Notamacropus eugenii: one gene and its partner. The protein of the gene in region 1 binds, or shares a complex with, the protein of each later gene. Links are inferred from orthologs where the notes say so. Each region holds a gene or a part of one and is shown on either strand. Other genes may lie near its edges.

What was found. Proteins that work in one complex are often made in the same cells at the same time.
Region 2: VAMP2 (region 1) and STX8 share a complex: the UniProt entries of both Homo sapiens proteins name them as parts of the SNARE core complex. The link is inferred for Notamacropus eugenii from reciprocal best matches to the Homo sapiens genes VAMP2 and STX8.

What each region holds. Positions count from the first base shown.
Region 1 is NC_092873.1:77,727,415-77,735,346, forward strand, and holds the start of VAMP2 (vesicle-associated membrane protein 2), read left to right. Parts: upstream 1-4,923; 5' UTR 4,924-4,938; coding exon 4,939-5,100; intron 5,101-5,801; coding exon 5,802-5,960; intron 5,961-6,440; coding exon 6,441-6,492; intron 6,493-6,753; coding exon 6,754-6,770; 3' UTR 6,771-7,932. UniProt on the Homo sapiens protein: Involved in the targeting and/or fusion of transport vesicles to their target membrane. Major SNARE protein of synaptic vesicles which mediates fusion of synaptic vesicles to release neurotransmitters.
Region 2 is NC_092873.1:76,438,456-76,445,848, forward strand, and holds the start of STX8 (syntaxin-8), read right to left. Parts: upstream 3,014-7,393; 5' UTR 2,879-3,013; coding exon 2,862-2,878; intron 1-2,861. Other genes in the region: CFAP52 (cilia- and flagella-associated protein 52), read left to right, coding at 6,296-6,368. UniProt on the Homo sapiens protein: Vesicle trafficking protein that functions in the early secretory pathway, possibly by mediating retrograde transport from cis-Golgi membranes to the ER.

The sequences.
Region 1 (7,932 bases):
TCTTTACCACTATATCAGCCCTGAGACTACAGTATTATTCATGTTATCAACTGTTGACATTAACTTATTAACTTATATAGTGTTTTAAGGGCCTTGTTTATGCCTTCACAACAGTATAACGCATAGCCCTATACCATGCAATTAGGAGTAACAAGTGCTTCTTGGTGATGACACAACACAGAAGAAACTGAAGCCTAAGTCACGTATCTACCATATCAAATTGTGGTAGTCGGAAAACTGAATTTTAATCCTGGGCAACAATGTTGGTCTTATGCAGACAGCTAGGTAGCACAGCAGATAGAGTATTAGATTTGGAGTTAGGAAGTTGAGTTTGAATCCTGACAATGGCACACAATAGCTATGTGACATTGTTCAAGTCACTTGACATCTCATCATCCTGGTTTCCTCATCTGTAAAATGTGATTAATAATAGTACCTACCTCTCAGGTTTGTTGTGAGAATCAGATTAGCTAATACATGTAAGTGCTAACTATCGGGCAGGTAGGTGGCACAGTGGATGAGAAACTAAGGCCAAGAGAAGTTCCAGTTGGGCAATGCAGCATCTTCCCTCCTTCCTTCCTTCCTTCTTCCTCCTCTCCTGAGTCTCCTTCCCCTCCCCTCCAAGTGAATGTAAATAGTAATTGTTTCTGTTTTGGCCAGAAACCCTGAGCATCTTCCCCTCCCAGACTGATTTTTTTTTTTTACTAGGTTAAAGGAACCATTCTCTGCGTTATTTCTTTCCTAGCCTTAATCACTGAATGGGTGTTGCCTCAGTCAAACTGAGACCTATTAAAAACCTTGCTTAAAAAGGTCAAGGTTTGGGGCAGCTAGGTGGCACACTGAATAGAGCACTGGCCCTGGAGTCCGGAAGACCTGAGTTCAAATGTGATCTCAGACACTTGATACTTAATAGACCTTGGGCAAGTCACTTAACCCCAATTGCCTTGCCTACCCCCATCTAAAAAAGCAACAACAACAACAAAAAAAAAGGCCAAGATTTCCCAGTTCATTCAGGGCCATCTCCAGTTATGATCTTATCTTGTCACTGGACCTAGATGGCTGCAGAGGAGAAGGTAAGGCTAGTGATTATGCATATCCTTCTCTCACTTAAATCCAATTCACTTGCATGTCATGGCATCACCTCCCTAATGTCATGGTCCTCTTCGAGAATGAAGAACAAACAATAACAATGACAAGTATGAAATGTCCAATATTCAAGTGGTGATGTGGGATTGCCTCTCAGGGGAGAAACTGGAAATAGATATACAGATCTGTGAGTCATTGACATAAAGATAAATAAACTCACAGAAACTGATGACATCTCTGGGAGAGAATGTAAAGAAAGGACTAGGACACTTGGGAATAACCCATGGTTAGGGGACATCGATGATACTGTGGATAGAGCAGCAGGCTTGGAGTCAGGAAGACCTGAGTTCAAATCTGACCTCAGACACTTACTGTGTGATGCTGGGCAAGTCACTTAACTTCTGCTTGCCTCAGTTTCCTCAACTGGAAAGTGGGGATCTCGTTGTAAGGATCACATGAGATAATTGTGAAGTGCTTAGCACAGTGTCTGGCACGTAGTGAGTTCTAAATAAATGTTAGCTATTATTACTTTTATTATGATATGATGAATCAATAAAAGAGACTGAGCAGGATTAATTAGACTAGGGGTCTCAGACCCATCCTCTCCAAGCAGTAAATGGATAGATTAAAGCTGCCTGTGAACTTGTTTTTAAAAATTGTTTTGGTAAGTATTGAGTTGAATTGAATTGAATTATATTGAAATAGGATTGATTTCCTTTGTAATCTATGTATTTTGGTTTGTAAGCCTAAAAACATTAGTCTAAGAAGGGATGTATAGGCTTTATTAACTGCCAAATGGGTCCACAACACAAAAAAGGTAAAATACCCCTGGTTAAAGAGGAAGAGAATAGGGAGAGAATAGCGTCATAAAAACCAAGAGAAGAGGGAGAGAGTGATCCGCAATATCAAATGGAGCAGATTAATTAAGAAGGTTTGAGGACTGAAAAAAGACTGTCATATTTGACAATTAAGATAGCACTGTTAACTTGTAAAGAATGGTTCCAGTCCAGTAATGAAGTTGGAAGCCAGAATGTTAAGGGTCTAGAAGTGAGTAAACAGAAGAAATAAAGATTTCGAGTGGAGTCAGATTTTTCAATGAGTTTGCTGAGTAAAGGCGGGAAGATAAAGGACTGAGGGGATGGTAGAGTCTAGTGAAGATTTAAGGATGGGAGAGACTAGTAGGTTTGAAGGTAATAGGTGCCTCCCTTAGCACCCAGCAAGTAGAGACATTGAGCTTTGATTGTGAGTTCAGCCCTGTTTTGATACTTTGACCAGTAAGAAATTCAAACCCATACATTTCTTAAACTTTCCCCTTTTCCATTCTCTGCCTTCCCTTTTCTCATCTAAATTTCTTTTGGCTTCTATATACCAAGAGGTCTAGGTCTATGAATCAGAAACACTAGATCTGAATCCTGAAGATGCCAGTTACTAGAGGGGTAACCTCAGATAAGTCACTTTACTCTGGGTCTGTTTCCTCATCTGTAAAATGAATGAATTTCTGTAGTCACTCACTCTGCAGTGATCTCTGAAATCCCTTTCAGGTGTAAATCCTCTTGGTGCCAATGCAGTCACAGTGAGAAGGAGTGGGGATCAGCATCACAGGGATGCTGAAGTCAGACTTAGGGACAAATTGAACTTTCTTTTTCCTTCTGTACTCCCTTGAAGGCAACCTACCTCTTTCTGCAAGAGTGGGTTGGTCTTTTTGTTTTGGATCTGGAAGATGGGGGGTTTGGAGTGTTGGAGTTAAGTCATTTAGGACAATACAGTTGAAGGCTAGGGTTTTAAAGAATGGGCTATGAGTAGCTGGGGTCCATTGTGTTAAGGTATCCAGGATGGAGCATGAAAAAGGTCAGAGATTGGAGTGGTCTAATTTGGGAAACTGCATTGTCAGATGGGGTTATGATCTGCAATGTTTATATATTGGGATTGGGATGTTGAAGTTAGGGTGTATAGTGTTAAATGTCAGAGGTAGGAGCTGGGGAGTTCAACTGTCTGAAGTTGGAGTCTTGTCATTCTAGGGCAGTTGGAATGTTAAGGTTCCAGTGTTAAGATCAGGGTTTAAAGTATTGTCTATTAGCCACTGGAGTGGAATTCAAGTGTGTCATGTCAGAGTTGAACTTTGTGTATGGGAAGTTTAAAGTGATTAAATATTGAATTGTTGGAGGCTCTAGAGTTGGGGTTTGAAATGTTGGTCCTGAGGTGCCATACCCTGAGGTACTGGAAGACTGAAGTGTTATGTTTGGGGAAAAGTTGGATTGGGATGTTGCAGGTTTGAGGTTAGTGTTAAGGTTTGGCATGTTGGATGTTGTGGTGAAGTTTGGAGGTGCAGGGATGTCAAGAGTTTTTCTTTGGAACTTCTGCAGTATTGGAGTATCAGGAGTCTGAAGGAGTATTAAAGGCTGGGGGGGGGCGGTCTGAGTTTTGGCATTAGAAATTCAAAGATGAGGTTTAGGAACTTGGGTACTTTGGGTTAAAGATGTTTGGGACTTGAGAAAATTGGAGGGGTTGAATTGTTGGGATGCTGCTTAGTTTAGGGGTTGGGGTGTTGGTGTGCAGTATGGTTGTTGTGTAGATTTGGGGACTGGAGTGTTGGGAATCTGGGGGTAGGGGGGTGGAACTGAAGAATTTGATGGGTTGGGGTTGTAGATCTGGGGTCCGGGAAGTTTGGGGGTTGGAGACAGGTGTCTAGGGACAGCCTGAACATCTTGGGAGAGAGGAATTTCAGAGGGTCCTGAGCTCCTTCCAGGACAAGATCTTAGGGAGGGGGTGGGGAGGAAAGGAGCAGGGCATCCAACATGGCTGCACCTCAACCCCCTTCTCCCAGCTCCCCCCCTCCCCTCCCCACTCCCCCGCCCGGCCTGGCCCACGGGTGCCCGGATGTGGGTGACGCGCGGCCGCCATCTTCCCGTCCCCAGGCTCGGCAGCACCATTCGGAGCCAGTGCGAGCCGGAGCCGCCGCCGCCGCTGTCCCCGCCCGCCCGCGCGCCCGCCCGCCCCCGCCATGTGAGTCTGCACCGCCCGGCGCCTGGCGCCGTCCCCGGGGCTACGGTGGGCCCCCATGCACTGCCCGGAGCCGTCCTCCCGCTGTCACTGCGTCCTCCTCCTCCTCCTCCCTTCTCCCTGCAGCCGCCCTCCTGGCCGTTCCCACCCTGGTTGCCCGGGCGCCCTCTGGGAACTGGGCCCGGTCGTGCCGCAGGGAGGTGCGAGCCCTGGGCCGCAGCCTCCGGCCCCGCCGCCGCCCCGTCCCGCCCGTCCCTGCATTGTCCGTTCTGTCCCCCCTGGCTCGGCAGGCCGCGGGGGCGTCGCTTTTGCTTTTAGAGGAGGGGCTGGGCTGGGGCTGCCCGGGCCTCCGGAGAGTGGGGGACGAGGAGCTAAAAATACCCGCGCCCCAGGGGTGCCCGGGGGCTGCAGGGCCGCGGTGCGGTGGGAGCGGAGACCGAGATGGGGCGCCCCGAGCCCAGCCAACCCGACCCACCCCTGGAGATTGTCTGTCACTAGCCCTGGCACGGTGGACCCCGGCGTCTTTGCCTCACATGCCTGCCCCGGCCGCCCCGCAAAGCCTCACTGGTCTTGGCAGCCTCCACCAACCTACCCCCCAACCCCCCGACCCGAGGATTAGGGGCCTGTCCCCAGTCCTCAGGCTGCCAGGGGCCCTGAGAGGAGGAGGTGAGGAGTCTCACTACCACGGTGCTCGAGCCCAATCCCTCGTTCTTCAGGGGGAAACTGGGGGCCCGGAGAGGAGACTCAGACTCAGAATGAGTCTGGAAGGGCTTGCCTGAGGTCTTCTCTTTGGGGGGAGAGCTGGGGACCCGGGAGAGGGGAGGCTTGGCAGAGTCTGCTGTGAAGGGCTGGATGTCCTTGTGTCAAGACACTTTTGCCACTTACACCCTCAGGTCTGCTCCTGCTACTGCCATGCCCCCTGCTGCCCCAGCAGGAGAAGGGGGCCCCCCTGCTGCCCCCCCAAACCTCACTAGCAACAGGAGGCTGCAGCAAACCCAGGCCCAGGTGGATGAGGTGAGCGGAGAAATGAAAGGAAGGGAAGGGGGTAAGGACGGTTGGCCTCGTGATCAGTACCATGGACAGCTCACTGGTGTGTGCCTCGAGATAGTACATTGGGGTGGGAGAGAGGTTAGGGTAAGAGGCACAAATGTTTCGTGTCAGCAGTGTTGGACAGCGACCTGTGTCACTGTTGTCATGCCCCTGGCCACCTGGTAAGTTAGTTGGCGTTGTTCCTTTGCTTTACCCTTTGAGGTCTGAGCCTGTTGTGTCGGGCTGTTGTACATTAGGCATGTTGGAGGTTTGTAGGTGGTGGGTAAGTCTCATTGTTTGTTTTATGCCTTTCTGTGTAAAGGGGAGGTTTCTGACCTACACGCAGTGTGTCAGTGAGTTCTGCTAGTATGTCTAAGGCATGTACCTGGATTATCTGCTGGCATGCCCTTGCTTTGTGTCCCTAGTGGGTCCTGTGTATGCATTATGCCTTAAGCTTGTGTCCCTGGAAGTACTTACTCTTGTGTGTCTGACAGCTCCTGTACATTAGGTTAGTTAGTCCAAGGTTTGTGTCCCAGTATATGTCAGATGTATGTCCTTGGGGGGGTTGTCCTATTTGTGTGATGCTTGAAGCTTTTTCCTGGCATAGTTTGTGACATATCTTTGGTATGTTGCTTATGTGAATCTGTGGCATAAACATGTCATCACTTTCGCCTTCCATTGTCTAGGTGGTGGATATCATGCGGGTGAATGTGGACAAGGTCCTAGAGCGGGACCAGAAGTTATCAGAACTAGATGACCGTGCAGATGCCCTCCAGGCTGGGGCTTCCCAGTTTGAGACAAGTGCTGCTAAGCTCAAGCGTAAATACTGGTGGAAAAACCTCAAAGTAAGGAGGCTGGAAGAGGGCATAAGGGAGGTTCTAGAAGGTGTGTTAGCTAGGAGAGGAGACTGAAGGAATGGGGAAAAGTGTTCTGTAGGCCTGATCAACCCTAAATCAAAACTGAGTGACCTTGGGTAAGTCACTTCTTTCTGGACTTCAGTTCTTCCTCTTTAAAATGAAGGGGCTATCTTAGGTGGTCCCTAAGGTTCCCTTCCCCCACCCCATATACTGTAGTTTTTCAGGAAATGGCTTGGAGGGTGGGAAGTAGGCAGAGCTTGATACTCTGACCTTTTCCCCTACTAACCTGATTATCACCCCCCCATCCCTCTTCTTTCTTTCCTGTTCTCCTTCCTCTCCCTTTCATCTCTCTTTTCTCTTCCTTTCCCCTTTTCTTCTTTTCCTCATCCTCTCTCTACCTTCTCATCTCACCTTTTTTTCTCCCTTCCCTTCCCTCTTTCCTTCCTTCTTTCCACCCCACCCTCCCAGATGATGATTATCCTTGGAGTGATATGCGCCATCATCCTCATCCTCATCATTGGTGAGTGGGGAATTGAGGGAGGAGGTTCAGATACTATGGCCTAGGAGGAAAAAGAAACAGTTCCTTTCCATCTGCCCCTTGTAGGATCATTGGGTCCCACCAGCATCCTCAGAACTTACCCTCCTAACTAAGGCTGATGAAATTCCATCTGAGGGGGGGAGGCTGGGTAGAACTGAGGAGGGCTAAATGTAGGTGAGAGTTCCTCCAACTGGGGAGATATGGACCAAATCTGACCCTAACACTCTTTGGGTCTCTCCACAGTTTATTTCAGCACCTAAGCCCACAGCAGGAGCTGCCCCTGCCCGGGAGAGGGCCCCCTTCCCTTCATGGCTCTCCCTCTCTCAGCCATATCTTCCAGCCCCTTCTCCTGTCCCACCTCCGGTGTGTCTGCGTGTGTATCCCCCCTTGTAAATAGCCAGCTGTTATTTATACATATATAATATTATATATATTTGGTCTGTTTGTAGTTTTATTACTAGAAGATTTTTTCTGGTTGTTCTTAACTTCTCTCCTCTGCCCATCATCCTTTTTTTTCCCCTAACTCCTCATTCCTCTCCTTTTTTTTTGACCCACAGTCCCCTCATGTGCATTTGCTATGCAACATTCTCTATTCTTCTCCTTCCATCTTCCTTTTTGCCTGGATTTAGCTATTCATCTCTCCCACCCATCTCTCTCCTCCCAGGAGCCTGGGGCACCCCCTTATTTATGGACTATCCAATCATTATGGACTGTGACAAAGATTCCCTTAGCCACCTTTCCCTCCCCTATGTCTCCTGGGAGCTCTGAGCACTTAAATTAGCATGTCATTTACATAACCACACCCTTTTTGGTTTGCTTTTCAGTCATTCCTGCCTCCTGACTTGTATTGGGCCTCCTCACCTATTACTAAACACACCTATGGGTCCTTCAATTTTACCCTTATTTGCACGACATTTACATAAGTGAGGGGTCCTTTGCTTTTAACACATAGGGGCCTGTGGCCTCCCCCCCATTCCATTTTTTTCACCATCCATTTCCTTCTAACTCTTGTCTGTCATCATCCTTTCCCAATTCCTCCTTCCCATAAATGCCTCCCCAACTCTCAACCCCACAGCTGGTATGTAAGTGTCTTAAAGTTAAATGTTTTGATGGACCAATAATTCTGCCACTTGGGGGTCTCCACATTCCTACTCCCCATATTTGGTAGGGGGGCTCACTGACATTCTCAAAAGGGTCCCCCTCACCTGCCCCTCCCACCCCAGCTGGGATGAATTGGGGAACCCTGCTACATTCCGATTCTTATCTAGGAGGGGAGGCCACCAGCCAACAGGGGCTGTCACTGCCGTGGGGAGTCTGGTAAGGGGGCTGAGGAACACCTCACAAGTCCTCCATGGACCTCCTCCCCTCTGAGCCACCTCCTTGTGGGGAACAGAGCTGATAGCCCACCCTGGGGTTCTGGGG
Region 2 (7,393 bases), about 1.3 Mb from region 1:
GGATAGAGAGCCAGACTTGGATCAATCAAATCAACATTTATTAAGTGCCTACTATGTGCCAGGAACTGTGCTGTAACAGTAAAACACAATCTCTACTCACAAGGAGTTTACATTCTAATGGGAAAAGAAGTACATATATAAAAATATACATATGCAGCATAAATAAAAGTGAATACAAAATATATACAAAGTAGTTAAATACAAGGTTGTTTGGGAGGAAAGATATTAATATTCGAGAAGATCAGGAAAGCCTTCATGTAGAAGAAACTGCATCTTAAAAGAGCACGACTTTGGAGCAGAGGTAAAAAAGGAAGTACAATTACACAGAGTTGGAATAAAAAAAAAACGAGTTCCACTTCTGACTCAAATGTTTACTAGCCATTTGAAGCCAGACACATCATTTAGCCTCTCAGCCTCAGTTTCCTCATCTGAAAAATGGAGACATTAACAGAACCTACCTCCATAGGGTGACTGCGAGGATCAAATGAAATAATAAATAAGGTGTTTTGTAAATCTTAGAGTGCTATTTAAATATTAATTATTACTATTATGTAGTTTGAGAACTATGATTCCTAGCACTTTCTATCCCCTTTCTGTCACTGAACAATCTAAACTAGGGCAACGCAAGACTGGGGGTCATCATGTACCTGTCCATTTCACAGGAGAGCACAGAAAAAAAAAATTTTCACTACCTGTTAGCCAGTCTTTTTGTAATCTCTCCATAGATAGGCTGGTCCTCAAATAATAGACACTGCTGTACAGTGTCTTAATTACCCTGAACTTAAACTAAATTTTTCTAGAGCGCCCTATTGTGAACTATTTGTTTTCATCATTCCCTACCTTATAGTATACTTACTTCTCTGTATATACATCCTAATACACTCCCTATTCCTCCCTGCCCCAAATTCCTCATGTAAGCTCTTCAACATGTGACTATAGTTGTTTTTAAAATCTACATCTCCAGTGTCTTGGCTACATGGAGTTGGTATGTCTGTTAAATTACATTTATCCACATTTATTTCCTTTCTCCCTACATTATACGTTTCTTAAGATCAGGGACCCAGTCTTATTTATCTTTCCATCTAGCCTTACAAATATTTAAAGACACTTAAAAACCTCATTGCAAATTTGTTCTCCATGCATCTACCTTCCTTTCCTATGGGATATCACTCCTTCCTTACCTCACTTTGGATTAGTCCTATCACCTTGCACAAAATAGGTGCTTAATAAATGTTTAATAGGTGTTTATTCAATGAATGAATGAATGAGTACTTAAAAATGACCTCCCACCTACCCCCATCTCCTTTGCAGTTTGCTAGGTTAGTGGAAAGAAATGTTCAAACTAGCCCTAGCCTCTTTTCCTTCCATTCACAGGTAAGCTCTCACCTTTCCCCTATAGGTTTGCAAAAAGTAGACTCTTTAAGTCCCTGGAACAGAAATGGGAAACCTGACCATCTTCATTCTCAGCCTTCTAAGTCTAGGATTCATTAAGAACGTCAGCTGTTCTAGGCCTATGAGAATGTTAACCTAGCTGGTTTTTAATAAGTGTCTAATTCAGTTTCAAACTCCAGTTTTGCGTACCTATTACATGTCCTTTTTACTTTTTACTTTTTAGGGGACTTCCAGGGGAAGAAGTGGTAAAATATGAAGCAATTTGGGTTTTGCCTATATATGCATTTGCCTTTGTATCCTGTATTTTACCTATTTGTGACCATGTTACTGCCTCAGTAGATGCCTTCTCACTTTTACATCTGCAGAGACTGTTCCACACACCTGGAAGACCAAACAGTCCCATCTCTGACTCCCTGGCTTCCTTCAAGTCTCAGATCAAGAACTACCTTCTGTAGGAGGCCTTTCCTGGTCCTACAGCTAGAGCCTTCCCCTCTAAGATTACTGTGTATTGGCTTTGCAGACTGAGACAGAAGACCTTTGTTCACACGCCATGCCTACTACTGGCTATCTGTGTGCCCTGGGGCAAGTCACTTCATTTCCCTGGACCAGTTCCCTCATCTATAAAATGAGGACTAGACCTTCTAGTTCTAAACCCACGATGGTGACTTGCACATTTTACCTGCACCTATACAGGCACAGGTGGGGTCCTTGAGAGCAAGGGCTGTTTTCATTTTGGTCTCTGTGTCACTGTAGCACAGTGCCCACAGCACAGCGCCTGGCACGGAGCAGGACTGTTCCATGCCAGGGTGCTATCTGACTGATCTGTCCATTAAGGTCCCTAACTCAGCGTGCGGGTGAATAAAATCGGATTACCAAGAGAGCAGAGGTGAAGGGGTGCCCGGGGCAGTTCTCATCCGTGGTCCCTGAACCAGCAAAAGAGCATGCCCCAAACCCCAAAAGCTTGAATCCAGAGCTACCTAGTCTCAGTAGATAGAGCCCGGCGCCGGGAGGTCCCGAAGACCCGAGTTCAAATCCGCTTTCAGGCACTTTTAGCTCCGGTCAGGTCACTGAGCCTCCGTATTAATAATAATATTCACCCTCCCGACCCCCACCTCACCCCCAACGTGGCTGAGAGGAGCAAATGAGACCCTTGTAAAGAGCTTAGCACAGAGCCGGGCACACAGCAAGCGCTACATATGTGCACCACTAAGACTACTGCTACTATTCCACCTCGGCGTGGCCGACCGGCAGAGCTGTAGGAAAACAACACGATGAAATCCAATTCGAGTCTCCCACAGGCGGTTCGGTTCCGGCGGTCTAAGCTGTGCCCTCACAGCGCCGGCTCCCCGTTCCTCCTCCCTGGGCCTCTCCCGGCGCCGGCCTGGCCGCCACCCCCCACCTCCGCCCCACCCCTCCCAACATGCCCCCTCCCAGGGAGCCTGATCTGGGACCCTCAGCCCGGGCCTCACCAGGGGTCCGGCGCCATGACGCTGCCTCTGCCGCTTCCCGCAAAACTTCCGGGTTGCTGCCTCCAACTACGGCAGACCAAGTGGCTCAGTCGCCTACAGGCGAAGCCAGCGCTAAGGAGGAAGCGAGAGTGTGTTCTCCCAGAGGCGCCACAAGGGGGCGGGACGGAGCCGGAAGTGGGGAGGGGAACCGGAAGGGCCTGGGAGAGAGAAGTCCTTACCAGGAAAGGGCCTAAGAAATCATGACTCCTCCTTTTAGAGATGAGAAAACTGACGCCCAGAAAGCGGAAGTGCTCTGTCCGGCTTCTCGGTTTTAAAGTGGTGGAGCTGGGATTCTAAACGTGAGATCCATGGCCCTTTGTGCTACACCAGCAGAAAGGGAATTTTAAAAAAGCAATGGAAAGGTAATTCAGGAAACCGGCCGATAGGCGGCGCAGTGCCTAGAGTGCTGGGTCGGGAGCCAGGAAGACCTGAGTTCAAATTCGCCCTCAGACATAAGGTAGCTGTGTGCCCCTGGGCAAGTCACTGAACTCCAGTTACCTCCTCTATAAAAAGGGGGCAAATAATAACATCTACCTCCCTGGGTTATTGTGAGGATCGAATGAGATTATAATTGTAAAGTACTTATAACACAGTGCCTGGGGGATAGTAGGTAGGTGCTATATAAATGTTAGATATTATTTTTTATTTATCCATTTAAGTTTAATCTTCATTATTAACATTTTTCTCCATCTTAACATCAACAAAACAATAAACCAAGCCCTGATTTGTGAGGTTTCCAAGTTGTAAATATTCATGTTAAAAATGTGGGTATGACCAAGTGCTTCAGCTAATCTAAACAGAATACCCAAGCTTTGTTGGTGATTGGTGAACTAAGGAGGAGACACGTTCTTACTTTTTATTAAACATGACATATTTGCACCTGATTAAACTTTTATCTGCCTCTTAGTGGGAGTGAGGCAATTGATCTGCCAACTTAATAACTCTCACCTTTACAGATGATTGATTACAGATACAAAAATTATAACATTTTTTCAGTTGATGAGTGCACTACATTTTCATTGTATATTTAGGATTTTTTGTGTTGTTCTAAAATTGTCATATATGTTTAATTCTATTTGACTAAAATATGGGCTAAAATGGCTTTTGATAGATTTGACTTATGTTAAACTTAAAAGTGTCTCATATACATAAAATTTAGAAACTAGTCATATTCACACGTTTATCAAGTGAAAACATAACTCCATCTTCTCGGTGTGAAAACTCCTACATATATTTTCAATAGGAAATTTTTTTCATTTAGCTGAAGCATTTGGTCAAATGCTCTGAGGCCTGAATAAAAATACTGGGCTGGACAGAATCAGAGATCTGAGTGCCTGGAGAAGAGATAGCTAACACCCTGAGAAGGAATGGTTTTGGTGGACAGAGCAAAGTCCTTAGTCTCAATCTAGATCTTCTGCCTCCACCGCCCTAGCTAGAGGCCCCTTGGCCAGAAGAACTTCTTGAACTTATTGTAAGGATTTAGAGAATTTGGACTTTTTCTTCAAATTAATCCTGCTTCCTCAAAGCTGAAAGAAAAGGAAAAAATGAAGGACTGGGTCTTTCTTTTTGTAAATCTACTCAGGTCTGACTTAGCAACACCAAAATCATCAGTCCTTCCATCTCTGTAAGCCCTTTATTCTTTCATGGCCAGCAACCAGCTTCTCCCATTTCCATATGGTCAGAAGGTCAGAAACCAGGTGCAAAATATATAAGCATGCTCTGTATAGCACACCAACATTTCTTATGCTGTAGATAAATTGTATAGCCAGCTTAGATGGCAACATGATAGGCCATAGGGAGCATACATTCCCATCAACACTCTAGTAAAGCTCTAAAAAGGAAATAGAACAATGATAAAGGAAAGCTAAGAGAAATGACTTTATAAACCACTGAGCAGAGGTAAACCAGAAGAGTCACAAGATAAAGCACAAAACCAGCCTGGAGCCACAAGACCACATCAACACCTAGGCAATGTAACACACAGGTTGCATAGTGCCCAGGCAGTCCACTCCATGGCAAAAGATAGGACCAGCCAAGTATCCAGGCAATACCATGCTGGATAGCCAGTGCCTGAACTCTATCCAGATATAGGATGAGATCAGCACCCAGGAAGCATCAAGCTCAGGCAGCCAGCCCTCTCTTACGATTCTATAGTAGAGAACAGAGCCAAACCAGTACCCAAGCTGATCAGGTCCCAGACAGCCCAATCCAGAGCCATATCAGATGGGGCAACGCAGTGCTCAGCAGCTCACACCTTAGCCACAGAGGGAGACAGAGCCATCCTAATGCTCAGGGCCAATGAACCATGACCCGTAGGAGGCCTGTTACCAATACGATTGGCCACGTTCAGTTAGGGCTTATAAGGGTTACAGCAAAAGATGGAGGCGGGACTCTGGGGTCAAGACTCTAGAAGGAGGAGACTGAGAAGGAAAAGTCAAAAGCTAAGTCAAGGTAGCAGAAGAATACCAGATTCCTACAGGGGATACCCACTCCATATAGGTCCAAACAACCGTACTAATGAAACAAGAAGATATCAGCCTCTTAGCCCTACTTCGAAAGTGGACATAGTAGCTCACTCTATTCTTTCCTCAACCTGCCCTTACATTTACAAACTGGGTTTTGTATCACATCTTCAAAAGGCAGCTGTATTCTCAGGCCAACTTTTCCTACATGTACAAAAATATTTATAGCAGCTCTTTTAGTGGTGGCAAACAACTGGAAGTTGAGGAGACACCCATCAATTGGAAAAAGGCTGGAACAAGTTGTGATATATGATTGTGACAGAATACTATTATGCAATAAGAAATGATTAACAGGATGCTTTCAGAAAAACCTGGAAAGGCATGAACTGATGCAAAGTGAAGTCAGCAGAACCAGAAGAACATTGTATACACTAACCGGAATATTGTACAACTGGGAATGACTTAGCAATGCAAAGATCCAAGATAACTCTGAAGAACCTATGATGAAAAATGCTATCTCTTCCCAGAGGAAGAACTGATGGAATCTGAATGCACATTTTTTTTACTTTCTTTATTTTTCTTGTGTTTTCGTCTGTGTTTTCTTCTACACAATGGCTAATATAGAAATATGTTTTCTAAACCTGCAAATGCATCTATTATCTTTATCAAATTGTGAGGAAAAGGAGGGATCGGAGAGAATTTGGAGCTCAAACTTGTAAAAAAAAAATGAAGGTTAAAATTTGTACTTGGGAAAAATTCGGAACTGGGACTGATTCCTCCCAGTCCCACGGACGAACGAGCCCTTTCCTAGGACCAGAGATGTGCAGGAGGCTTTGTACGCAAGCGCAGCTGCTGGTTGGTTGCCATCGCGACAGAGGGACGCGGAGTGCTGGGCAGTGAGTTTCAGCGAAGAAGGCGAGCGGTGCTGCGGCGATGGCGGATTCCACTACTCCGCCAGAATCCGAGGTGCTTGGACTGGAGCTAGAAGCAGTAATTGGCTTCAATGGTGAGGCACGAAGAGAGATGCTAATCCGGTTCTGTCGCTGGGCTGTTATGAAAGTCACTTCGCCCCAGGGACCCTCACTCTGTAATATGGATACTGGGTTTATCATTTCTAAGGACCCTTCCAGCCCTAACATCCTTTACTCCTAAGATTCGGTGAGCCCCGAGATGGCCTAGAAACCTGCGGTCCTAGGGGTGGAGTGGCAATTGGGGGATTTGAGGCAGGAAACAGTGTGCGGACTACCAACCTTTTGCCCTGGAGTCCAGCTCTCATTTACTGCTCTGAGGGGAGCGGACAGATAAAGAGGAGAGGAGAACTAGCTACAACGATGGTGGGTAGAGAGGGCGGAAATCATGAAGAATGATTGCCTAGGCTGATTGACTGGCTGACCACTGGCCCTCGTAATAGGTGAAGTTGTTCTAAAGCACCTTCTCCACTTTGGGAGTCCCTAATGTCAGCCTTCCACCTTTGTCCTTTCTGACCCAAAGCATTATACTTTTCCTCCAGTCACTTGAGATTGGACACTACTATGTATTTGACTCTATTTGCTTCCGAGTCAAAATCTACAGTGCTGTTAACCCATCTATCTTATCTGTTTTCTCTGCCTTCCGAAATACCGAGAAAAATGGTAACTAGATAATTTGGGGGCAAAAAATTTGATTTGGGGTGAGAATGGGTGGAGGGGAGTGAAGAAGAGTGGAAGGAGGGCAGGTAATTTGTATCATTCATCGTGGGGGTGATTTGTTGTCAGACTCAAAGGAAAAACTCCAATACGGAGGTTTTCAAACGAAGTGGTAATAATACCAGGCTTGTAATTTTTTTAGTTTCCTCAAGTGCTTTCCTCCGTGCAAATGTTTTGTTTTCCTTTTTGGTCCCGATATGTGTGCTGTACTGTGGACTGCTTCTGCTGCTCTATAATTTAATCTCCTAGAGTAATAATGAAAAAGATATTAACTAACACATAGTGCTTTAAGGTGTGCAAAGCTTGTTACAATGATGCCCAGGGTCACACAGCTAGTGGGGTCTGA